Linked DNA regions of Sus scrofa. Each later gene encodes a partner of the first gene's protein in a complex. Links are inferred from orthologs where the notes say so. Each region holds a gene or a part of one and is shown on either strand. Other genes may lie near its edges. The genes, in order: PAPD5 and ZCCHC7.

Region 1 (12,073 bases):
GTCAATTTCCTGGTTGCGGTATTAAACTACAGTTATATAAGATGTTATCACTGCACGAAACTAGGTGAAAGGAACATGGGATGTTTCTGTACTATTTTCTGCGAATGCATTTCAAAATAAAAAGTTAAAATTAGATAAAGCTATACATGAGGTTAATTAACGAATACGAAAGATTTAACACAGCATATGGTAAAAAGGCTCCATGAGTACTTTTATTATATAGAGCACTTTTAATAAGTCAACAAATTTGGAAACACAGACTTCTGTATACGATTCAAACCATCTCAGCAGAAAGCATGACTGGAGCTCAAGTTCAGTTACCAGATACTACACGAAATCTCTCACACACGGCAAGACGCTTCTTTTTCAAATCTGAAACCCTCCAAGTGATTAAGTAGCTTGCACAGCAAAAGCGTCTCCACATTCAGTTTTTCCCCCAAATCTCTAATTCAAATTTCCACATAGCCCAAAGCCCTTAGTATACAAAAGCCTCTAATATCATCAAGTAACTTACAGGACAGAAATAAATGTATCACTTGCTGTTTGGGTTCAAATTAATGAAAAGCCTAGCCCAAGGCCATCCTCAACTTCAATAAATATTCTCTTAGAAAAAAGTAATTTCGTGTCATGTTAAAAACGGTAAAAAGTGAATTTAAAGCCTTTTTGTCATTCTGTAGCAGCTGGGTCCCTAACAAATACTCTGAGGGTTAGAAAGAACATTCTATCAGCCATCCCCTGAATTCCTGAAGCAGGCTGAGCTGTCCAGCCAGCTCTGCAGCAGAGCCAAAATAGGAGTCTCAGACTAGGTGCTGGGAACTGGATCCTAATTCTTCAAAAAAGCATCCTCTCCGGCCTATAACCCCTTCAGGATTACTCCATACCTGTGTGTATAAATGACTAATACACACAGTCTCCAGTGCAGTGGGTGTGATCCTGAAATAGTTTCCTCACTAAATGTTATTTTAAAGGATTCCACAGAAGGAAAAATAGAAAGCTGAGTAAAATCATACAACAGCTTGCGCTTCCACCTTCCATACAGAAAAGTGGCGTAAATTTTTCTCAGCTTTAACAGGTATAAGAATATCGAACCCACAACTATCTGACCAGTCCAATATCTGCAAGGGAGCCCCTGAATTTTCTTGCCACGGACCCTCTTTGGAGTCCTAACACTAGGATTTACTGGCCAGGGTTTCACGTAAGAGGTTACAATGTCAGGCCATCTACCACACCAGGACCAGAAATGTTCTCACACACTCTCCCTCCTCCTCCTCCCTGACCTTAGCTTTTTCTAGTAGCCACGCTTCCTTTCCTGGGGGGTCGGGGGGAACAACAACTAAATCTTCTCTGTGACCCCAGGGCAGACTCTAAAAAGCCCTAGTCATTGTTTCCTTTTGCCCTCCAACACCTAAAAACTTAATAGATGCTGAAAACAATTCCACATGTTAAAATGCCAGTGATTCTGACACTGTGACAGCAGTTCACTGTTGCACATTTTATAGACAGAAGGTGAGTCCTGGCATGGAAGCAGCTTAGTTGAACACAGTATACTAGATTTGGGGAAATTCTCAAATATGAATTACACTGTCGGTGCAGAACCTACACTGCAGAAAACCCAACGTCTTCTTGAAAGCATGTCTCAGCATCCAAACGCAGTAAACTTCAACAACCTGAAGGTCCTGGTTCACTGAAGAAGTACCGTGGGCTAACGCTTACAAATGCACAGAAATTACGCTTACAGCAAACTGTAGAAATATGCCTCTGAATTATTTCATGTTAATCTGCCTGGAGCCCAGTTAGTTAGTTAGTCAGAGCCCAGCACTAACACCAATCCCACTGATCATACTGCGTAGACATAGGCAGAAAGAGGCCACAATGCCAATGCTGCAGGAGAGGGTCAACATCCTGGATTTACTGTGACATAGTGTCATACAGAAGGAAGGACACTGCCCCACGGCAGTAAGGACAATGTTATGTCAGCCCCCAAATTTCCATTCCCTGTTAGATAGTTCCATCTAAACAGCACTGCACCCTTTGCTTCAAACCAACAGGCCTCACTCTTACTTTCAGTAATAACCCAAACATTTCCCCAGTCACTCAAATTCAAAGCTTAGGGTGATTATTAAATCTATGACGGGAGTCAGAATCTTTCCTGTCCTTAACTTACAGCACTTCTCACGTTAATTCTTTCCCTTTCCCATCCCCATCACCCCAGTTCGAGAAATTATTTCTTAAACCCAAGTTTCCCGGTATGGACTTCTTGATGTCCCATAGTCAAAGTCATACTCCAAAATGTTATTTGAACAAGTCATTCCAGCCTTGAAAAACTTTCTACAGATCTGGCAGTGCAGCCAACACAAGCCTACCCTTATGAGCTTGGACAAGCCCCAAGCACCTTCCTTAAGAAGTTTTTAGACACCAGGGCTCAGGCCCAATGACTCTGAGGCTCCCAAATTTCCCATGTTTGTTACTTTTTTGTCATCTCTCTCCATGGTGATCAACAATTAAACCTTTTTTTTTTCTTTTTAGGGCCACACCCGCAGCATATGGAAGCCGGGCTAGGGGTCAGATCAGAGCTGCAGCTGCTGGCATACACAACCACAGCCACAGCAACACGGGATCCAAACCACATCTTTGATCTATGCCACAGCTGGCAGCAATGCCGGATTCTTAACCCACGGAGCAAGGCCAGGCCTCGTGGATACTAGCTGGGTTCTTAACCTGCTGAGCCACAATGAGAACTACCGACAATGAAATCTCTGAAAAGGGCTTAAAGTTCATTTTCATGGACAACCAGAAAGAGCAGGTAGACTTCTTCCTACACCATAGCCAGCACAGAAAGGGAATGAATCCCAAGAAATAGAATAAGTGAAAGCAACTTTAGGGAGTTCCCTTGTGGTGCAGTAAGTTAAGGATCGGCATTATCACTGCAGTGGCTTGGGTAGCTGCTGCCATGTAGATTCGACTCCTGGCCCAGGAACTTCCACATGCCATGGGCACAGCCAAAAAAAAGAACAAACAAAAATACAGAAAACAAAGACACTTTATAAAGAGAAAATAGGAGTTCCCGTCGTGGTGCAGTGGAAAAAAATGCGACTAGGCATGAGGTTGCAGGTTCAATCCCTGGCCTCACTCAGTGGGTTGAGGATTCAGCGTTTCAGTGAGCTGTAGTGTAGGTCGCAGACGCAACTCGGATCTGGTGTTGCTGTGGCTGTGGTGTAGGCCAGCAGCTGTAGCTCCGATTAGACTCCTAGCCTGGGAACCTCCATATGCCGCTGGTGCGGCCCTAAAAAGACAAAAGACAAAAAAAAAGAAAGAAAGAAAAAAGAAAAGCAAACAAACTCCCTGGATCTGTAGGCACAAGACAAGAATGCTGAGATAGTAAACTCAGGTGAGTTTCAACTTTGAAAGAGGACGATGAAGCCTTCACGATGAAATCCAAACATCGTACTCTACGTTTACAAACCCTCCATCTTACCTTAATTAATAATAAAAATTGGGAGTTCCCGTCGTGGCGCAGTGGTTAACGAATCCGACTAGGAACCATGAGGTTGCGGGTTCGGTCCCTGCCATTGCTCAGTGGGTTAACGATCCGGCGTTGCCATGAGCTGTGGTGTAGGTTGCAGACGTGGCTCAGATCCCGCGTTGCTGTGGCTCTGGTGTAGGCCGGTGGCTACAGCTCCGATTCAACCCATAGCCTGGGAACCTCCATATGCCATGGGAGCGGCCCAAGAAATAGCAACAACAACAAAAGACAAAAAGACAATAAAATAAAATAAAAATTTAAAAATTCCCTTTATTTTTATTTATCTATTTTTATGGCTATACCCGTGGCATATGGAAGTTCCTGGGCCAGAGACGAAATCTCAGCCACAGCTGCGACCTAAGCCACAGCTGCAGCAACACCGGATCCTTGAACCCACTGCACTGGGCTGGGGGATCAAGCCCCGCGCTTCTGCAGCGACCTGAGGGGCTACAGTCAGATTCTTAACCCACTGTGCCACAGTGGGAACTCCAAAATTTCTTAGAAAGAAATTTCATTGCACCTAGTGACCTAGTGGGTAAGAGAAAACATATACATAAAAGGAAAATTAAACATAAGCAAGCTCTACCAAGAGCATGAATCAAGTCCGGTAAGATTTCAAAGGAGGAACCAAAAAAACAAGAGCCTGGGCAACACGGTCAGGATTGTGAGCTGTATCTTGGTGTGTTCAGGGAGTAAGTCAACCAGTCTGGCCAAAGCAGAGAACACTGGGAGATCAAAGATATGAGAGTGTACACAGCTGTCCTACAGATTCGGTCTACTGTTCTTGGGCTCTTTCTTTCTCTCCCTGTCTGGACAGTCAGAGGCCCAGGGACCACCACAATTTGTTAACCTATTAGGTAAGTGTCAGTCACATCCCAAGAATAGCTTTACTATATTTAATCTCCGAAGAGCATAACATTGAGGTGCACTCTGAATTCAGGCTTCTTTAAATACTTGTATTAAAAAGCAGCAAAACTTTTGTAACAGCCAAGCAATAAGGATCTGTAAATCAAAACAAGAATTTTTTACGGACGGAGACACTCTTACAAAAACACTCTTAGGAACTGCTTAATAAAATGTAAGAACTTTAACTGCTGACATCCTCTAAAGAGGGAGGCAAAAGAATGGAAAGTCTGATGAAGTGATAAGCAGTTTTAAGGCAGGTTTACAACCAGTTTTTAAACAGTAATCTCTCTGGGAAATGCAAATTCCCCTCCTTAATCCCTTTGAGACCAATATAATATGTGAATTAGAAACAAGAACATCTTGCTTCTACCTAAGTTCAAATATGAGCCTTTTCTAGTATCCTTGACAATAAACAGCAAGTAGAGAGACAAGAATTTCTAATTTATCAAAAAGAGAGGTAGCCAGCATTTGGGGTTTAGAACATATCTTTGCTACACACATACACAGAAGCTTCAGGAAAACGAAATTAGGGAACTTCGAGGTTTTTAGTTGACAGTGATTACTTAACTGGAGCGTATTCCTAGGAAATGAAACTACCAGAACCCCTTAACATCAATTTGCTTGTCACTAAACCACAGGTTTATGCTTCATCTTGGAAATGTGAACAGGGTGAAACCATGAGCCTTTTATTAAAACAAGATGACCATGGAGAGCGCCCTTGAAGCTTTAGCACAGAGGGCTCAACCCTAAAAGGTTCCCCTCTGGAAAGTGAGGACAGGTTTGATATGTACCCCCGTGCCAGTCCTAGAACTCTTCACGGCATCTTCCATAAAAGGTGGGAGTTGTAATAGTAGCGTATAGCAGACACCAGCCCACTAGAAGCAGATGGAACCCACCAACTCATTTTACCCAGACCTTCAAAAAGGTACACAGAACGGTCTCTGCCTGCCAAATCTAAGAAAAGGTTTCACAGGGGACCACTGATGGTGATTTCATTTGCCTAGTGTGGCCCACAATGTAAAAGAGGATCTGGAAAGTGAAAATGTTAAAGCTCATTCTTTAATACTCAAAGGCAAACACACACACACACACACACACACACACACACACACACAGGCCCAAAGCTTTGTTTTACAAAATAAAAAAAAAGAAGACTGTAATCTATTCCAGCACAGGGGCTCTTCCAGGAGGGAAATCTAGCTGGAAATATCCCTGCTTCTGTACATAATTCACTAGGGGTCAGGTAAGATTCCATTTTGTAACAGCTGAACTTTAAACAGAAAGTCATTAGTGGTGCAACATTCACTCATTAGCATAAAGTTACCCCCTAGAATGAAAAGCACTGGCTGTCTCTGCCAGGATGACAACTTTACAGTGAGAAACTGGGGCCAAGGACCATGAACTCCTAGAAAGTTCTATCCGCCTTAGAAGGAAAGCTCACCATCTCCACCAGCCTAAACTTAACTGTCACTCCATTCCTCACTCCCCACAGAGCAAGGCATCGCTAATACAGGAATTGTTGAAAAAAATAAAAATAAATAAAATAAAAGGATGGGCCAAAGGGTCAATAGCAGGCGAAGCCTTTCAGGGCTGACACGATTCCTGTTTGGGATTGGGGGAGGGGGAGGAGCTTTCTGGATGTTTCTATTCTTGGCAAGGAAAGCACCTCCAGGTCCTGTACCGTCAAAAGGCGCTAACACAGGAATGTTCTCAGGGAATGAATGATTTGCCTGTGCTAAGCGACTTCATTCTGGGGTGTGATGATGGGGAGCACGATGGGAAGGGCTAGAGAGAATAGAGAGAAGGTGTGTTTGACGGGGGGGGGGGGGGGGGATGGGAGGAAAAAGTGGATGGATAAGGGGGGTCGGAGAAGACCTGGATGGTTAAGAGGGAGGATGTGGATGACTAAGGGAGGAGAGCAGAGAGTGTAGATGGCTGAGGGGACGTCCAGAAAAGGCGTGGAGCTGAGGGGGAGGGGGATGAGGTGTGGACCGCTAAGGAAGGTTGGGAGGAGGTGTGGATGGCGGAGGGATGAGAGATGGCCATCAGCTCCCAGAGGGGGAGAAACGAAGGCAGGCCGACGGCGGGGGTGGGGGGGTGGCCTCACCCAGACTCCCCCCCCAAAAAAACCCCTTCTGTGGGCGTGTGCCCGGCTGCGCGTGTGCAAGGGCCCAGGCCACCAGGCCGTAGGGCCATCACTCACCCCACGACTCCCTGGTTGTAGTTCCTCCGCTTCCACGGGGTCCCGCTGTACACGCCCCCGCTGCCCTCCGCCCGGCCGCCCCCCGCGGCCCGCCCTCCGCTGGGCTGCAGCAGGCTGTAGTTGAGTCCGTAGGTGCTGGCCTTGTTGTCGCGCTTCCTCTTGTTGCTGCTGCCCGAGGCCGGGTCGGCGGGCTCCGCTGCGGGGAGGGCGGCCGAGGAGTGCGGGGACGAGGACGCCGAGGGGGACGGGGACGCCGAGGGGCCCGTGGTAGCCCGGCGAGCCCAGGCCGCGGGCTGGTGGTGGTTGTTGTTGTTGTTGGTCGTCTCTAGGGGCAGGAAGTCCCGCTGCTCCGCCGGCTGCGCGTGGCCGCCCAGCAGGCGCTCCCCGGAGCGGTACATGCCGGCCGGGGCCGAGGCCGGGGCCGCGCCGCCCGGGCTGCCGGTGCTACTGCCGCTCCCGCCGGTGGCCGTGCTGCTGCTGCCGCCGCCGCCGCTCGCGCCGCCGCTGCTGTGACAGTGGTGGTTGAAGTAGAGGTTCCTCAGTCCCTGGGTCGTCTCCCAGATCTGCATCCACAGACTGTTGGACGGTCCGAGCTGCTCTGGCTGGAACCAGGCGATCCTCGGATCCATCAAACGGCGGCGGCCGTTGCCCCCGCCCCTCCCGGCTGCCCGCAGGGCCGCCGCCGCCGCCGCCGCCGCCGCGCCTTAGGCGCACGCCTGGCCTCGGCGGCTGCTGCTGCTGCTGCTGCTGCCGCTGCTGCTCCTGCTGCTCCCGGCCCGCCGCGGGCGGCGGGGTGGCGCAGGGAGCCCGGCCGGCGCCGGCGGCGTAGCTCCCGCCCTCGGGGGCTCCGCGGGCCCTCCCCCCCTCCCTCCGCCCCTCTGCCGAGCCCCTGTCACCGGGGTCCCCGTGCAAATGGCGGCGGCAGCAGCGGCTCTGGCAAAGGGCGAGCGGCGGCGGCGGCGGCAGCGGCGGCGGCGGCAGGACGCGCCTGCTCCGTAGCGTCCTCGCTCCTCCGGCCCCAGGGCGGGGCCTCTGCCGGCTCCGCCCCGATCGCTCCGCCCCCCCGCCCCCGCCCCTCCCTCCCGCGCTCGCCCCGCCCCCGCCGCGCCGCGCGGCCAGCCCTGCCCGGGAGGCCGCGCCGTGCGTCACAGAGGCCGCTGGGCCCCGCGGCTAGGGCCGCAACCGCCCGGCCCAACCGTCCCGGTGCTGTCTGTGGAGGGTGTCGCACATACCTGGGCGTCCGGGTGCCCCCTGACGCGCGCGCTGCCTCCGGTCTCAGTTTCCCGACCCCAGATACGGGGCGAGGCTGGACGGAGGTGGCCACCAGCTACGTAGGAAATAGATTGTGGGAGGTGCCACCCCGCCCACTGTCCCTTCCCCCACTCTGCAGCCGCGGGACACCCCTCCCCGCCCCGGGCTTCTCGGACAGCTCCCGAGATCTCCGCTCTAAGCTACGTTCCAGATGGGAGAAAATGTGCCCCCTCCCCACCCGAGCATGTGCCCAGCACCCTCCCTGAACGCAGGCTGCTCTGATTGCTCTGTTGTGGGGCCGCCCTGCTATTCCCTGCGCCCGCCTGGCCGCGCCCTGGCCAGCGTTGGGAGCCCGCAGGCCTTGGCAGAGGGTCCCCCCACCCGACTTCGAGACTGGAGAAACTTGTGCCCACCTACACGGCTGGACGCACTTCTTCGTAGAGTGCGTAAGCCGTGAGCTCAAAACCACCATCACGTTCCCCAAACCCACTTTACACAGACTTGCGCGCATAAGCACGCACAGACGCACGAGCTCCGAAGCGAGTAAAGAAACCTCACTTGAGCTGAGGTGCACCAGCAACCATGAAAAACCCTTCTTAGTTCAGATTAAAGAAAACCCAAAACCTTTTAGGCCTCATTTGAGGACCATGTTGTTGGCATCAGAAGAGATTTTCCACAAACGGGTCATGTGCACACCTTCCCCATCCCTGCGATAGAAGACGAGGAAAAGGGAATTTTAAGTATTTTAAATCATCAGGAGAAAAAAGGAAAATAAGTGGGCACGTTTCACCTGTGCTCTATATGGTTAGTCCAAAGTCCAGAAGAAGTCCTTAACACCCAGTTTTGACCTATTTGGGGAGCTCAGTATCCTGGAAAGATTTTTTTTTTCCAGAGATGAAAAATTAACAAATTTCTTGCTGAGAGAATAGCATAGGTATAAATATTGGAAAACACATCAAAAACCCTAAAGAATTTTGGTTCATTCTATTTGTTGCTTTACTGTATACCGGTATTAAACCTTTTCTTAGAATGGAATTTTCTGTGTACTGAGAATTACACAGCCAGAAAAATGACTGGAGATTTTTATGCTGTTAACACTGGCAAATTTAACAAAAATAAAGCATTGTATAGAAATAAGTTCATTTTCACTTTAAATTTGTTCTAAAATTCAAGTGAGAAAAATGCAAAGCTGAAAAAAGTAAACATTATCAAGGTCCCACTATCTAAAAATAACCATCACGAAGACTTTGTAAAACCCTCTTTGAAAAATCTCTCCATGCATATATGTGTCAAGACAGTCCTCCTTATTTTTACTTGTTTACTTATTTATTTTAAATCTTATTCAGGGGTTTAAAATATTTTTTCAGGAGTTCCCTTGTTGGCTCAACGGTTAACGAACCCGACTAGGATCCATGCAGATGCGGGTTAGATCCCTGGCCTCGCTGAGTGGGTTGGGGATCCTGTGTTGCCATGAGCTCTGGTGTAGGTCGAAGTTGTAGCTTGGATTCCGAGTTTCTGTGGCTATGGTGTAGGCCAGCAGCTACAGCTCCAATTTGACCCCTACCTGGGAACATCCATATGCCTTGAGTGTGGCCCTAAAAAGGGAAAAAAAAATTTTTTTTTCAGATGTCCAAAAGCACATTGAATGTCAATGATATCTACAACCAAAAAAAAAAAAAAAAATAGTATTCAGAATTAGCAATAGTACATGCCAGAAATTAACATTTGTTGTTATATTTGAGGCAAACCTTAAGAATTGAGGAAGTATTGGAGTTCCCGTCATGGCTCAGTGGTTAAGAATCCGATTAGGAACCATGAGGTTGCGGGTTCAATCCCTGGCTTTGCTTAGTGGGTTAAGGATCCAGCATTGCCGTGAGCTGTGGTGTAGGTCGCAGATGCAGCTCAGATCTGGCATTGCTGTGGTTCTGGTGTAGACCAGCGGCTACATCTCTGATGAGACCCCTAGCCTGAGAACATCCATATGCCACGAGTGTGGCCCTGGAAAAAGACAAAAAAAAAAAAAAAAAAAAAAAAAAGAATTGAGAAAGTATTAGCAAAGTATCAAATGAGTTAATATACATAAAATTACTTTGTAAAATATGGGCTGAAAGGCAAGACATCGCTGTTTTTATTCACCTGCAAGCAATGCTAACTGGTTAGCCATGTAACACATCCATGTTTCAAGGCATTCATTCAGAAAATCTTGGTTGAATGTCTAGCATCCTTGCAGAACTGAGTGAATTGTTTTAGAGAAGATAAATAAGCAGCCAGGGCCTTTGGCTGCCTTCCATACATTTTCTGTCTGGTTAGGGAGGTTAAAGAAAACAAAACAAAAAACAGGGGGAGTTCCCCTCGTGGCTCAGCATAAATAAATCTGACTGGCATCCATAAGAACACAGGTTTGATCCCTGGCCTCACTCAGTGGGTTAAGGATCCAGTGTGGCCATGAGCTGTGATGTAGGTCGCAGATGTGGCTCAGATCCCAAGTTGCTGTGGTTGTGGTGTAGGCCAGCAGCTACAGCTCCAATTTGACCCCTAGCTGGAAACCTCCATATGCCACAGGTGCGGCCCTAAAAAGACAACAAACAAAAACAAAAACAAAAACTGGTAAATATTTAAAGTTAAATTACAGTTCATTTAGTTAATTCAACAAATATGTCTTGAGCCATTATTATGTGCCAGAAGCTGTATTACAATGATGAACAATACTAATGAGGTCCCTGCCTTTGAGAACCTTATGTTTTAGTGAGTAGGGCTAGCATTTAAGGTCAGACAGTGGCTAAGTGCTATGAAGAGAAAGAAAGCAAGCTAAAAGGATAGTGACAGTATGCTATTTTTAGATGGGCTAATCAGGGAAGGCTGCCCTGAGGAAGTGATATTTGAGCAGGGACTCAAGTGAAGGAGTGGACCATGACCATCTAGGGAGTGATCCATCAAACAGAGGGAATAGCAAGTGCAAAGGCCCTGAGGCAGCAATGTTCTTTGTGTGCACAAAGATAAGGCAATGTAATGTTGAACGTGTATCATGGTATAGAATCATAAAGTTATCTCTTCTGGAAGTTTCCTCAAAAATTATCCAGTCTAAAGTAAGAGTAGGGAATTTTAAACACACAAAAAATGTATTCACTTTCCCCAACAAATCTGCAATGTTTTGTCTCAAAGTAATCTACTGCATCCAAAGAGAAAGACTACACTAATTTCAATAATAAATTTTGATTACTCAGCCTTTTCATTTTGCTATTTAGAATATTGCATTCTTTAAAACCACCTTCATTAAATTGATGAGGCAAAAACACAGCTATCAAAAACCGAGACATTTTCCTGCATAATGTCCTATTCATTCTCAGTACTCTTGTTCTGGGGTGGAGGGAAATATTGAGTTGAGGATCTCAGCTTGAAAGATTTATAGAAACACCAAGATTCTGCAGAGTAAAAACTGAGTAGAGAAATGAGAATCAAGTTACCCAAGAATCAATTTAAATGTGATTTCATTGATTTATTAACTTGAAAAAAAAGGGGGAATTGCACATACTACTACATGGTATTATTAATAATTGTCATTATAATTAAATCTTAGTGTGTGATTATATTACCCCACTCCAGAGTTAACAAAACCATGAATAATAGCCATATGGTTATAGTTATGAGAATCTTCTGTATTTATGAAATGAAGCATTTGCTCCAGGTATTAGTAATCTTGGGTTTATGCACCATTTACAACTTTTCCCTTTTTTTGCACAAAGTATGCACCATTGTACCATGTTATTTCCAACTTTATGAATACAAAGAGGATTCCAAGTAGGGAAATAAATTTCCATGAGACTTCAAAACCTGTATCTTGTTCTGTACAGTTAAAATTTCTTCCATTCCTAACTTGTAGGGGAAAAAAATTGCTCAAATTGTGTGTGTTCTGGCATCTTTAGTGAGTGTGTATGGATATGCATGTGTGTGTGTGTATACGTGTGTGTTTAAAGACAATAGTGTAATTTCTGTACTGTAAAATTCACTCATTTTAGGGAGTTCCCGTCATGACTCAGCGGTAACAAACCTGACTAGTATCCAAGAGGATGCAGGTTCAATCGCTGGCCTTGCTCAGTGGGTTAAGGATCCGCCATTGCCTTTGCTGTGGTGTAGGTTGCAGACAAGGCTCAAATTCCAAGTTGCTGTGGCTGTGACACAGGCTGGGAGTT
Region 2 (12,102 bases), on another chromosome or scaffold:
TGGTAATTTAACATTAAATGTCTTCCTTTTTAATACTAAATCAGACATGTTTACTTGATCCCACCCCAATCAATCCTCAATCATCCCCCAATCCTTCTTCAAAAGATTCCCCTAAAACATTATCAAAATCTCTTATTCAGACAAAATTTTACTTGATTGTGTAATATGTCCTAGCTACTATGCTATTTTCTTCCTTTTGCTATCAAATTCTCAGAGCTACTACAGCCTAAGCCAGAACACCGGTCATGTAAATAAGAGTCTGTTGAAATAGCCAACCCATTTCTTCAGGTATCATGGCTGCTTTCCTACAATAAAGGAAGGTAGTTAGGAGATCCTATGGCCTGGAAACCGAAAATATCTCCTATCTGGCTCCTTAAAAAAAGGGTTGTCAATCTCTGGGGCTCCAAACCATGAACTATATTCAATATTATCATCTACTCTGAGGACAAGAGGGTGCCATTGAAGGTTTTGGAGCAGCAGTAAAGTACATTTAGTACTTTAGAAATGAGTAAAGTACTGCGCAAAGGGCACTTCAAGAATACCAATTTAACAACAGTGTACAGGGAACATACAAAAGAAAATCATTTAGGAAAATACTGCAAGACACTACACACAGAGCAAAAAGGGAAAGAAATGAAAGGGTTTTTTAAAAGGATAAGCATCAACACTAAATGACTACATATGACAGAGGAGACAAAACTAACAGCAAAATTTCAATTCTCAATGATGTGGCTCTCAGAATTTAGTTTCCTATCTTACCAATCGTTCTTCACAGTTTCCTATCTTACTGATTGTGGAGCTCCTAAACATCTTAATACTATTTCCATATCTTCTGTATACCAGGCATTCCCCATGCTTGCTATATGGTACTTCCTGGGTAGGCAAATCACTTAGGAAGAGGCAGAACCAACAAAGTTGGCCAAATGAGCACACAGGGCCACTGTCAGAGATGGATGGAGTACTCACCTGTGGTACCAAGCAGAGAGAGGGGGGAACTAAGATTTCACGTTCAGAACTGGCTCTAGCCAAACAGCAAGAAGCAGTTATGAATCTGCTTACAGTAGAAGCAGAGTGTCTCTGATATTGTGATAGACTCTTTCTGATGTTCAGACAGACCACCATTAAAGAAGCCGTTGGTGAGACAGTCTCATGAGAAACAAGCCAAAAAACATGACCAAAAGGTGAAGAATTAAATGGAGCAGACCCTATTGGTCTTTTGTCTAGAAAAAGCAGCCTTCCTTATGAAAGACGATACTACTTTTCAAAATGGCCAATATGATACTAACCTTCATTAAGAGACTTTTCACATCCCACAAGATTGAGAAGGATATCATCATCTTTATCATCAACTTCGCATCCCAGCAGCATCCAGCTTTCCACGTTATCACTTTCTGAAATGGTGCTCTCTTCCTCTTCACTTGAACTGACCTCTATAATCATGACTTCTTGGACTGCACCCGATCTCTCTCCAGGTTGAGGCTTCTCAACATCCCTCTTGCATTTCTGATCTGCCAGCTCATTAGAATGAAGAGAAGCAGGAGGACCTTGGGTCTTTTCTTTTGCCTGGTCTCTAAAATTCTTTCTTTTACATTTATAAATACTATCTTCATCAGACAGAGTGATGACCTCTGACCCATCTGATAGCTGGATGACCTCACTATCTGAAAGGATAATTAAGTTCTTCTGATTTGGTTTACTACCAAATGATTCAGAATTCCCAGAGTTATTCTCTTCATGTTCCTCCTCCCTGATGACATTATCAAGATCTTGGGCATAATGAACTTGACTGTAGAGCTGAAATTCCACCTCACTATCGACACTTAGTTCACTAGATGACTCTTCACGATAAAGGTCATCTTCATATGCTTCTATAGTTTCAAAACCACCAAACATCATGGAAGGTCAGTAATCTCGAGGCTGTAAAATAGAAAGTCATACAAAGAATGTATTTTAACAGGTCAGATCATGCCTGTTTAGTACATAACAAATCACCTCTTAGAGCTAACTTCTGTGAAGGCCATCACTTATTGATGCTCAATCACAAATTAAAATATTTTTCTCTTAGAGGAATATCATTTTTTAAGAATTTCTAATTGTTATGACCACTCTAATAATGCCCACCTCTCCCAAATGACAATCACTACCAACAAACTGAGTTATAGTTACTAATGGAAAGGTCACAAGTATGTCAGAAAGGAAAAACAAGTTCCCACTCTTTCAGACACCACTTTTTCTCCAAAATGTTAAAAAAACAAAAACAAAAACAAAAAACCACACAAAAATATTTTAGGTCATTCTCACTACTATTCCATCCATTCTTCATCTTTTCCCTGGTTCTGGTTCTGTACCTCATCTTTTCAGATACATTCTCCCACCTCACATGCACTCCCACATGGTTGAGGAATATCACCTCAATTATGACTAAAATTCACAAAAGGACACAATGATCATATTTACTGTTTGGGTGTATATTTTTATTCCCAATTAAAAAATGAATCTCATGGCCTTCTGATCTCTGACCCAAAGGAACATAAAAATATTGGATAAACCTAGTTTATTTCTCTGTTAGCTATAAAGATGTGTATGAAATACAAACTAAAGACTTAAAACTGAGGTAAAATTCAGCTTCAAGAGCACTTTACTTTCCTACTGTGAGCCTATTAAATCCTGCTCATCATTCAACACAGTTTAAATATCACTTCCTCAGGGAAGCTCTCCTTGACCCACCAAACTAAACTGTCAACCCTTTATAGGTTTCCACAGCTCTTTACATTTCAAAACATTCACACTTCTAATTACTAATGCAACGTAAATCTCCCACAAGCACAGATCACATATCCCAGGAGGGAAAGAACTATATGCGCTTTGTTAAACAATGGATCCCCAAAGTTGAACAGAATAACTGGCATTTAGCAGGGCCTCTATAAATGTCTGCTGAATTAATGAATGAATAAAGAAATGGATAATATCATCAAGCATTTGTTCTTCAGCTCTAATAAATCTAATATGTCCGTAAAATACGAAAATTATGAGGTGAATATCATAGTTGTCTCCAACTATTCCAAATATTCTCATATCATCAACCAAAAATCTACACAGATGTTTCAATTAGGTACTAACAGAATATTGATCAAAATGAAAGCTCTGGAAAAGGGACAAAAACCTCATTTTTGTCAAAAAAAAAAATCAGGGACAGTCTGGAAAACAACAACAATGACAATTTATTCTTTCTACTCTACTATTTAGATAGACTAAATTTAGGAAGACTAAATTACCAATTGTCTGCCCCAAATGTCAGGGTACTTTTAATGATAGAACCTGCTGATTCCAAGAGTCAAATGAATAAGAGCCAAAAATATACTACGCTCATGCTGGAGTTTCCTGTTTTATAAAAATAAAGAAACCAAACTTTGTTGTACACTTTAAACTTATACAGTGTTATATGTCACTTATGTCTCAATAAAGCTTGGGGAAAAAAATGATTTAAGTTCTGAGTTAACAATACTGTATTGTATATTTGAAATCTGCTAAGAGACTAAATCTTAAATGTTCTAACCACATACACACACACACACAGAGGTAAAGATGGGAGGTAATGGATGTGTTAACTAACCTTAAAGCAGTAATCATTTCAATATATATACATGTAACAAATCATCATGTGTTAAACACCTTAAATTTACACAATGTTATGTGTCAATTATATCTGGGGAGGGGGGAGCCAACTACAAATGCCTTTTTTTCCTTCAGAAAGGTACAATAGACCTGTTCCCTTCCTGCACAGTCCTTTAGCAACAGCTATGCTGTTGTTGTGACACAAGTTGAATGTGGCTGTCTGAATAATAATGCTCATAGCATTTATCAGTTTATATTGAAATGTTAGCCTCAGAGAAATTCAAATAAAAGACGAATCCGTTCTTTTTTATTTAGTAGGTAAATTAATTCTAAAAGAAGTCAAAGGAATTATGCTTCCTTCAAAATCCTCAGTGGATCCATCCTGAGGATCCAGTGTGGACTTAAGATAAAACATAATTCCGGTGCAGCAGAGAAAAAATTAAAGAGCTAAATTACAGAGTTACAAATTTGTACTACTCTTGGAGCCATCCCAAAGGAAAGGGATTAAGAATAGAGCCATAGGCGCACCTGTGAATGTATGCCAAAAATAAACTACAGAAATAAAATAAAAACAGACTTCCTTGGGTCTAAGGGTTTATCTCTTTCCCTGAAATGTAGAAAAATGAATTTAACAATTTAGCCCCTATGGCCTTTAAGAGGATTTTGTACCTTCTGTACTTGAAAATTGTGCTCAGCATAACTTGCTCTTCTATTTATTTGGCTTATGTATGCCAGAGTTAAGGCTTGCCTGAGGCTGTTCTGGTTTGTGTTACTACTTTAATTGCATTCAAACGCATTTAATTTACTTTTTTTAATGTATACTCAGAGGACAAATATGAAAATACATATATGTATATAACTCTGTCTTGATTCAGAAGGACTTCTCAGCTTTTTGATCATTGTACACAATTATCAAGCATACTTAACTAGTTAACATAAAGTCTCTATGAGAGTCTCAAAATTTTAAATCCGGAAGAGACCTTTCCGATCATCACCTACAGTCTTCTCAACTTACATAGAAGGAAACTGAGCTCTAAAAAAGATAGGGAGGCTTATCCAAAGTTGTAGTCAGCTAAAACTGACTCACATTTCCCTGACTCTCAGCCAAGTGTTCACTAAGATTAAAAAAAAAAAAAAAAAAAAAAAAAAAAAAAAAAAAATCAACAATTTCAAATAAAGATTTAAAAGAAAACCTTCCTTCAAAGCTATATTTGCACTGGTTCTAAGACGTAAATTAACCTCACAATATCCATTTTACTTGCCTGTGGAGTTTAAAAACTATGAAAGAATTTTAACTGGAAAGAAAAGCATACATTTGAATTTGTCAGTTTACCATCCAGGAGCCTCCCAAGTTGGTACTCAAAGACTATGGCAATGCCATGACCAAAAAAAGATGGCCCTTATCTAAGAACTTAAAATATCAATCTGGGAAAAAAAACTTCTCTAAGGAATTAAAATGGTTTAACAAATATGAAACAGCTATAAAGAATAACTGTAAAGGCTCTCACCATGCAAAGTGAGAACACTATTCATTCACTCAACTTTTTTAATCCAGACAATTTAAGATTTATTTAAGCTCTCAGATTTTACTATACAATCTTTAAAGCCAGTATTTCTGCTCACAGTCTACCAACTGATCATTCCAGACCTTTCGCTTTTATTTCTCTTGAAAGAAGTTTAAGCTTAAATGTTTCCTTTTGATGAGATAGTTATCCATCTCAAAGTGATTTAAATCAAACTCACAGCTTGATTTTCAGTCCAGTTTTCATTAGAACATGATTAAAAGACTAAGTTTTATTTCAACTTAAAATTTCTGATTCACTCTTAGTGAGCTATTCTGACAGTGAGATCTGAAACACTACTGACTTGTGTTAAAACTTCTGTCCACTCTTCAAATATGACTTTCGCTTTGAGGTAAATCTAATGGGATAGAGAATCCAAATGTGACAAACAATAGGCACACACTCACACAAACACAGTCAGACAGATACAAGATTTTTGTGGGAGAAAATAATGCTAAATTTATTCAGAAAAAATCCAGCTGTTTCTGACATAAAGTCTTCATAGGATAACTAATCCTATCTCAAAACACTTACTTCATCTTTTCCACAGGCCCCTTTTCCTTTTGCTGCAGTCTCTTACCCTTGGAGCTATTTTACAATCCTCATTTCCACTTCTTCCTTAGTTCATTCCCCACCCCCAGATTCTCCTGAAAACGATAGTGCACTGCGCTCAAAATCACAAAACTGAAAATATACACACAAGCTAAATATTCAAAACACAGAGTCAATAGTTTTGGAATGGACCTCGAAGTCATTCAATTGAACGCTCTCATTTTATACAGACAGAAACGGGATCTAAGAAGCTTATTTATTCAAAGAGCCTAAAAGATCTCCTAATTCAACCCTGCAACCTGAAAAAAAGGTAAATTCAACCTCAAGAGAAGACTTCTAGAGTCATCAGCGCGAGTCGGTAGTGGAGTCGCGGCTGTAACTCGGCCTGCTCTCACTCAGCCAGTTTCCCTACTACACATACCCGCAGCTGTTAGAGCTGAAGTTAACTGCTGGTTCCCTGGATGTAAGGGATAAAAGGAATCAAGGAACAAGTCTCCTTGTTTTACATGGGGGAAGAGGGCCATCTGCCCAAATTTTTCTGGCCCCCAGAGCTGCTGCTTCTGACAGCTGAGGCTGGAGTTGGCCCAGGACTGTTGGATCCTCAAGGGCCGAGCTCCCTTCGGGTTTAAATGACTGACCGGCTTCCCTAAAAGACAGGGGACTCTCAGAGGGTAGTGGGGGTAAAGCAGGCAGTAACACCATCCCCATCGAGGCCATGGGCGCCCAAGCTCTTTCTGAACCACAGTCTCAGGCCTTGAAGGGAGGAGAAGCAGACACCTCAGCCAGTCAGCTGAGTCGCGTGGGACAGAGCTCGACTGAGAGGCCACGAGCGGAGCCGGGTACCGCCACAAGTAAGGGACAGGCGGGAGACGCGGAGGCCAGCGAGGGGACACGCGCTAGTTCCACGGCCCTGCGGGCGAGGCGGAGGGCAGGCAGGGGTCCCCGGCCCGTGGACGGCTCGGGGTCCGTCACACATACTCACTGCCGCGGCTGCGACCAGGAAGCACCAACCAGGAACCAAAACGCGTAAAGGGACGGGGAGGGGCGAGGACAGATGAGGTAAGGAAACCGCGTCCGCGCCGACCCGGGAGGAGGGAAGGCACTTCCGGGGACAACACTTCTCCCAGGAGTTGTCTTCCGTCCCCGCCCACCCTGCGGGCCTTCTTGCGCATGCGTAACAACTATAAACTCCCCCTTCCCTTCCCAGCTGAGAGTCTTTTCGGTTTGCCTTTCTTGCTCTGCTCCTTCCCCGCCACGACTTCTTTCAGAAGTGTCTAGGCTGCACCTGTAATAGGGAAACACCTTGTTTGAATGACTTGCACGGAAAAAATGCTGCTTACCGAGCCAAACCGGAGAAAGCTAGCGCCTTTTTGTGCCCGCGAGAAAAACTACGTCTCCCATGATGCTCCGGGGCGGGGTTTAGCTTGGGCTCCGCCTCCTCCCTGACCTGGGGGAGGAGGAGACACCTTCCTTATGCCACGTGGCACGGGAGCCACGAGACCCAGGTAAGGGCTAAGGGGCAGGTGCAGCTGGCGGCATGGCTGGAGGACGTAGAGAACCTCAGCAAGGGAGAAGCCTCTTTGAGAAAGGTTGCCTTCTAGATACTTCTTTCTTGAGCTAGGTGACCTTATGCAGGTCACTTACATCTCAAGGTTGAAGTTGAACCTAGTTTACGCTGGGGCGCTTCCGCCTCTTATTTTTCCTAGAATACAAGGCAACAGATTTAAGTCTTTGTGCACCTTGAAAAGCTGCACTCATGCTAAACACTGAAGTCGATACTGGTCCCTTGGAAACCTCTAGAGGATTGTGCTGGGAGCCTCTGGCTTGGTTTCTCTTCTCACACCATATTTTAATAACTGTACAACTTTACAAATAAGGAAATATTTTATTAATTCGTGGGCCCTTGGCAACAGTCTTGAGTTTTAAGATGGGGGCAGGGGAGATTGGCCACACCCATGGGATGCAAAAGTTCCCAGCCAGGTATCAAACCCTAGCCACAGCCATGATAATGCTGGATCCTTAACTACAAGCCCACCAGAGAACTCTGACAATAGTCTTGAAAGATAAGCTTGACATTGATTTTTTGTGTGTGTGGCAGCACCTGTGGCACATGGAAGGTCCCAGGTCAGCAATCCAATCCGAGCCACAGCTGCAGCAGTGCACAAATTCATAACCCAGTGCACCAGGCCTGGGGTCAAACCCTAGCCTCACCAAAAACCCTAGCCACCTCAGAGACAAGGCTAGATCCTTAACACTATGCACCACATCAGGAACTCTAACGACTTTTTTTTTTTTTTTTTTTTTTTTTTGTCTTTTTGCTTTTTCTTGAGCTGCTCCCACTGCATATGGAGGTTCCCAGGCTAGGGTTTCAAACGGAGCCGCAGCCACCAGCCTATGCCAGAGCCACAGCAACGAGCCGAGTCTGCAACCCACACCACAGCTCACGGCAACGCTGGATCCTTAACCCACTGAGCAAGGCCAGGGAACGAACCCACAACCTCATGGTTCCTAGTCAGATTCGTTAACCACTGCGCTACAACGGGAACCCCTCTAATGATTATTTTTGCCAACACTTATTGAACGTCTGTTAAGAGCTAGGCAGTCCTATCAGTTTGTGGATGTAGTGGTAAATTTTTAAAGTCTCTGGTCTCATAGATCTAGAGTCTACCTGGAAAAGCAGAATGCAGGTGATTTGCATATAGTTTAATAAGAGTTTGACTGGGAAATTAGAAATTTTAGTTAACATAGTAAGTGCTAGGAAGGAAGACAGGGTACAGTGAAATGGTAAAATTGGAGGACCAATGGTAAAATTTTGCAGAGGAAGAAACAGGCTAAGAAATGAGCCACAGAAATTACTAGATGGTTAGGTTATATGTATTATGTACAACAAATGTTACCTTTAAAATATATATTACGTGGGAGTTCCCATTGTGGCTCAGTGGAAACAAACCCCACTAGTATCCATGAGGACATAGATTTGATCCCTGGCCTCACTCAGTGGGTTAAGGATCTGCCGTTGCCATGAGCTGTGATATAGGTCACAAACAAGGCTCTGATCCTGAGTTGCTGTGGGTGTGGTGTAGGCCAGCAGCTGTAGCTCTCTTTCGAACCCTAGCCTGGGAACTTCCATATGTTGTGGGTACAGCACTAAAAAGACCAAAAAAAAAAAAAAATTTAAAAAATAGTATATTGTGGAGTTCCTTGTGGTGCAGTGGGTTAAGGATTCAGCATTGTCACTGCAGCAGCTCAGGTAGCTGCTGTGATGTGGGTTTGATCCCTGGCCCGGGAATTTCCACATGCTGTGGGCTCAGCCAAACAACAACAACAATAATAATATATTGAGCTTTTATCAAATGCCAAGCTTACTCCTGTAAGTGTACTATATGTAAACTTAAATTTTAACAAAACTTTGAGGTTGAGAATTTTTAAAAAGGGAAGTAGATTCAGAGGTTAAGTAGCTCGCCTAAGGCCACACGTGTAAGAAATTCTAATTCTGTGCCCAGCCCTCCCACTATTACTCCTACATTCAACGAAGATTTACTAGTTCCTGTGCTTAAATGCTTTGGTCACCTCCAACAGATTATGTCATAAAACCAAGAGTCCTTTGGATGGCATAAGGAACACTTCATAAGCTGACATCTGCCTACCTGTTCATCACCATGCTGAATGCTGAGCAGTTGCCCCAACACACTATGCTCTATCATATCTGTGCCTTTACAGAGGGCATTCCTGTTGCTGGTAAAGTTCTCCCTGTCCTTCACCCTACCCTGCTCAAGCCCAGGTCATCAGCGAAACCTTCCAACTCAGCCAGACAGAAAAAGCGTTCTTTCCCCTGAGCTCCCCTACAATTTGGACAAACTTCCATCAAGGCAATTACATTGTGTTTGACTCAGCTGGATTGTGAACTCCCTGAAGGAAAAAGCTTTGACATTTTGTCTTTTGTTTTTTTGGGGGGTGGTGGTGCACGTGCCAATAGCATGCAAAAGTTCCAGAGCCAGAGGTTGAACCCACACTACAGCAGCAACCTGAGCCACAGCCGAGCAGTGACAATCCCAGGTCCTTAACCCACTGAGCCACAGGGAACTCTGACATTTTGTCTCTGTATCTTCTTCAGCTAACATAGTGTTTGGCAGACAGCAAGCACTCAATAAAGTTGTTAAAGAAAGGAAGGACAGCTAACTCCCTGAGGCTCTAGGAAACCAGAACCAAACGTGGATCCACCTTCTGTCAGTTCAGTAGGAAACCATGACATGACCCGAAATAACCAGAATGCAGTGTGGTGCTCCATGATATTAAGATGGCATAAAGAGCTGCAGGGGTCCAAGGATACAGAGATTTCTGACTAAGGAGGATGCTACAAGTAAATATACACACACACACACCCTGCCTTTACATGGTGTGTTCTCATTTATTTATTTATTTTTTTGTCTTTTTGCTATTTCTTGGGCCACTCCAATGGCATATGGAGGTTCCCAGGCTAGGGGTCGAATCGGAGCTGTAACCACCGGACTACACCACAGCCACAGCAACGCAGGATCCGAGCCGCATCTGCAACCTACACCACAGGTCACAGCAACACCGGATCGTTAACCCACTGAGCAAGGGCAGGGATCGAACCCGCAACCTCATGGTTCCTAGTCGGATTCGTTAACCACTGTGCCATGACAGGAACTCCGGTGTGGTCTCATTTAAATGGCTCTTAGAATTCATGAGATTAAATCTGTTGCGATGGGGAAACTGAAGCTAGTAAGGGAAGAGACTTGCCAAGAGTCACCTAGCAGAGGCAGAATGTGTAGGTAATCCAGGTCTCTCTCTCTCTCTCTCTCTCTCTCTCACTCACACACACACACACACACGAAGAGACTTGCCAAGAGTCACCTAGCAGAGGCAGAATGTGTAGGTAATCCAGGTCTCTGAGTCTCTCCCCAAGACACAGACACACACACACACACACACACACACACACACACACACACACACACACACACACACACACACCTCTGAGTCTCCCCCCCACCCCCCGCCCCAACAGTATTTCTCTTCCTGCCTTATGCCGTCTCTGGTCCACACCTCTTGAGATTACATATGGAGGCATGCACAAGGCTCCAGGGGCCTCTCTTACAGAGAATGGTCTAAAGAGTCCATTTATTTGAGAAAGGAAGCACCTGCTTTCCCCAGGGCAGTGGCGGTACTACATTAACAGCGAGCAGCTGAGCCAGGATGAAGCAGAACTTGCTGCAAAGGACAGGCAAGATGGAGGCCATAGTGTAGCAGGATCTGGCAAAGTGACTCATCCTTATCTTTCCATTGCTCCTTCCTTTCTTTTGTTCAGTTTGGTGTATTAGTAGTACCTAGAACCTCTGAGAACTAACTAATCATTTTACCAGTTGCCTTTCCATTACTATTCATTCACTGAAAGCCTATGTAACATCTCCTTGCTAGCCATGTTGGGTATATGGTCTCTGAAATATGTTGTAAGGGACTATTACTCCATTTCACTAGTGTGGAAATTGCAGCCTGGTGAGGTCATGTGACTGGCTCTAAATCACGCTGCTGAGATTCAAACTCGAGGCTTGTCTGAATCCAAAACCTATGCTCTTTTCTATGCCCAAAGCTGCCTTTCAAAACAGAGCTCCTTGAGGGTGGAAACCATGATGAGCCTGCTCCTGTCTCTCCAGTGCTTATCCCAACGGGGAGGAGGTGGCAGACTCACAGAGATCGCTTGGGCAATGAGTGGGTTCAGCATGGAATGTTTGCCAAATGACAGACTGGGTGCAGTATGAACAGTGTTATGCATCTGTGGTGAAGGAGGGAGAAGCTGGCTGCTTAGGGGAAACGGAGGCACCTCTGTCAGCAGAGGGGAAAGCCAAGTAAGTGAGGCTTTGCCGTCATGACAGTGTCTCCCAGTGGCCCATCCAGGTGACCATCTGTGCCAAGGGCAAGCACCGCACCCGCCGCCTGAAGGCGCCCTGAGACGACGCACCCCTGCGCATGCTCATCATCCCCTTCCTGCTCTGAATGGTTCCCCGCCCCCCCCCACGCTCCCGCCCAGGCTCAGCCAAGCCAGATGGTTAAACAACAGTCCAGTCTAACTGCAAAGAACACCAGCAGGCAATTCGCAGAAGAAATCCAAAAGGCTGTGAACTAGGTGTGCAACATCACTCATGATCAAAAGAATGAAAATGACCTCATATACTGTAGGGGGAAATACAAATTGGAAGAGCCTTTTAGGGGAGCTAGTTGGCAATTTCCATCAAAACTGTGAGTGAGATATGTAGGTGCAAAGATTGTGATGGCTAGTAAAAGGAAACAACATATTCATCAATAAGGTATGAAATCATGAAGGATACAGCTGTCCTATTTTTTATACTAT

The links.
Region 2: PAPD5 (region 1) and ZCCHC7 share a complex: the UniProt entries of both Homo sapiens proteins name them as parts of the nucleolar TRAMP-like complex. The link is inferred for Sus scrofa from reciprocal best matches to the Homo sapiens genes TENT4B and ZCCHC7.

What each region holds. Positions count from the first base shown.
Region 1 is NC_010448.4:34,661,819-34,673,891, forward strand, and holds the start of PAPD5 (non-canonical poly(A) RNA polymerase PAPD5), read right to left. Parts: upstream 7,481-12,073; 5' UTR 7,262-7,480; coding exon 6,633-7,261; intron 1-6,632. UniProt on the Homo sapiens protein: Terminal nucleotidyltransferase that catalyzes preferentially the transfer of ATP and GTP on RNA 3' poly(A) tail creating a heterogeneous 3' poly(A) tail leading to mRNAs stabilization by protecting mRNAs from active deadenylation.
Region 2 is NC_010443.5:237,815,439-237,827,540, reverse strand, and holds the start of ZCCHC7 (zinc finger CCHC domain-containing protein 7), read right to left. Parts: upstream 6,867-12,102; 5' UTR 6,712-6,866; exon of another isoform or gene 6,708-6,711; intron 6,685-6,707; exon of another isoform or gene 6,151-6,684; intron 1,918-6,150; 5' UTR 1,897-1,917; coding exon 1,287-1,896; intron 1-1,286.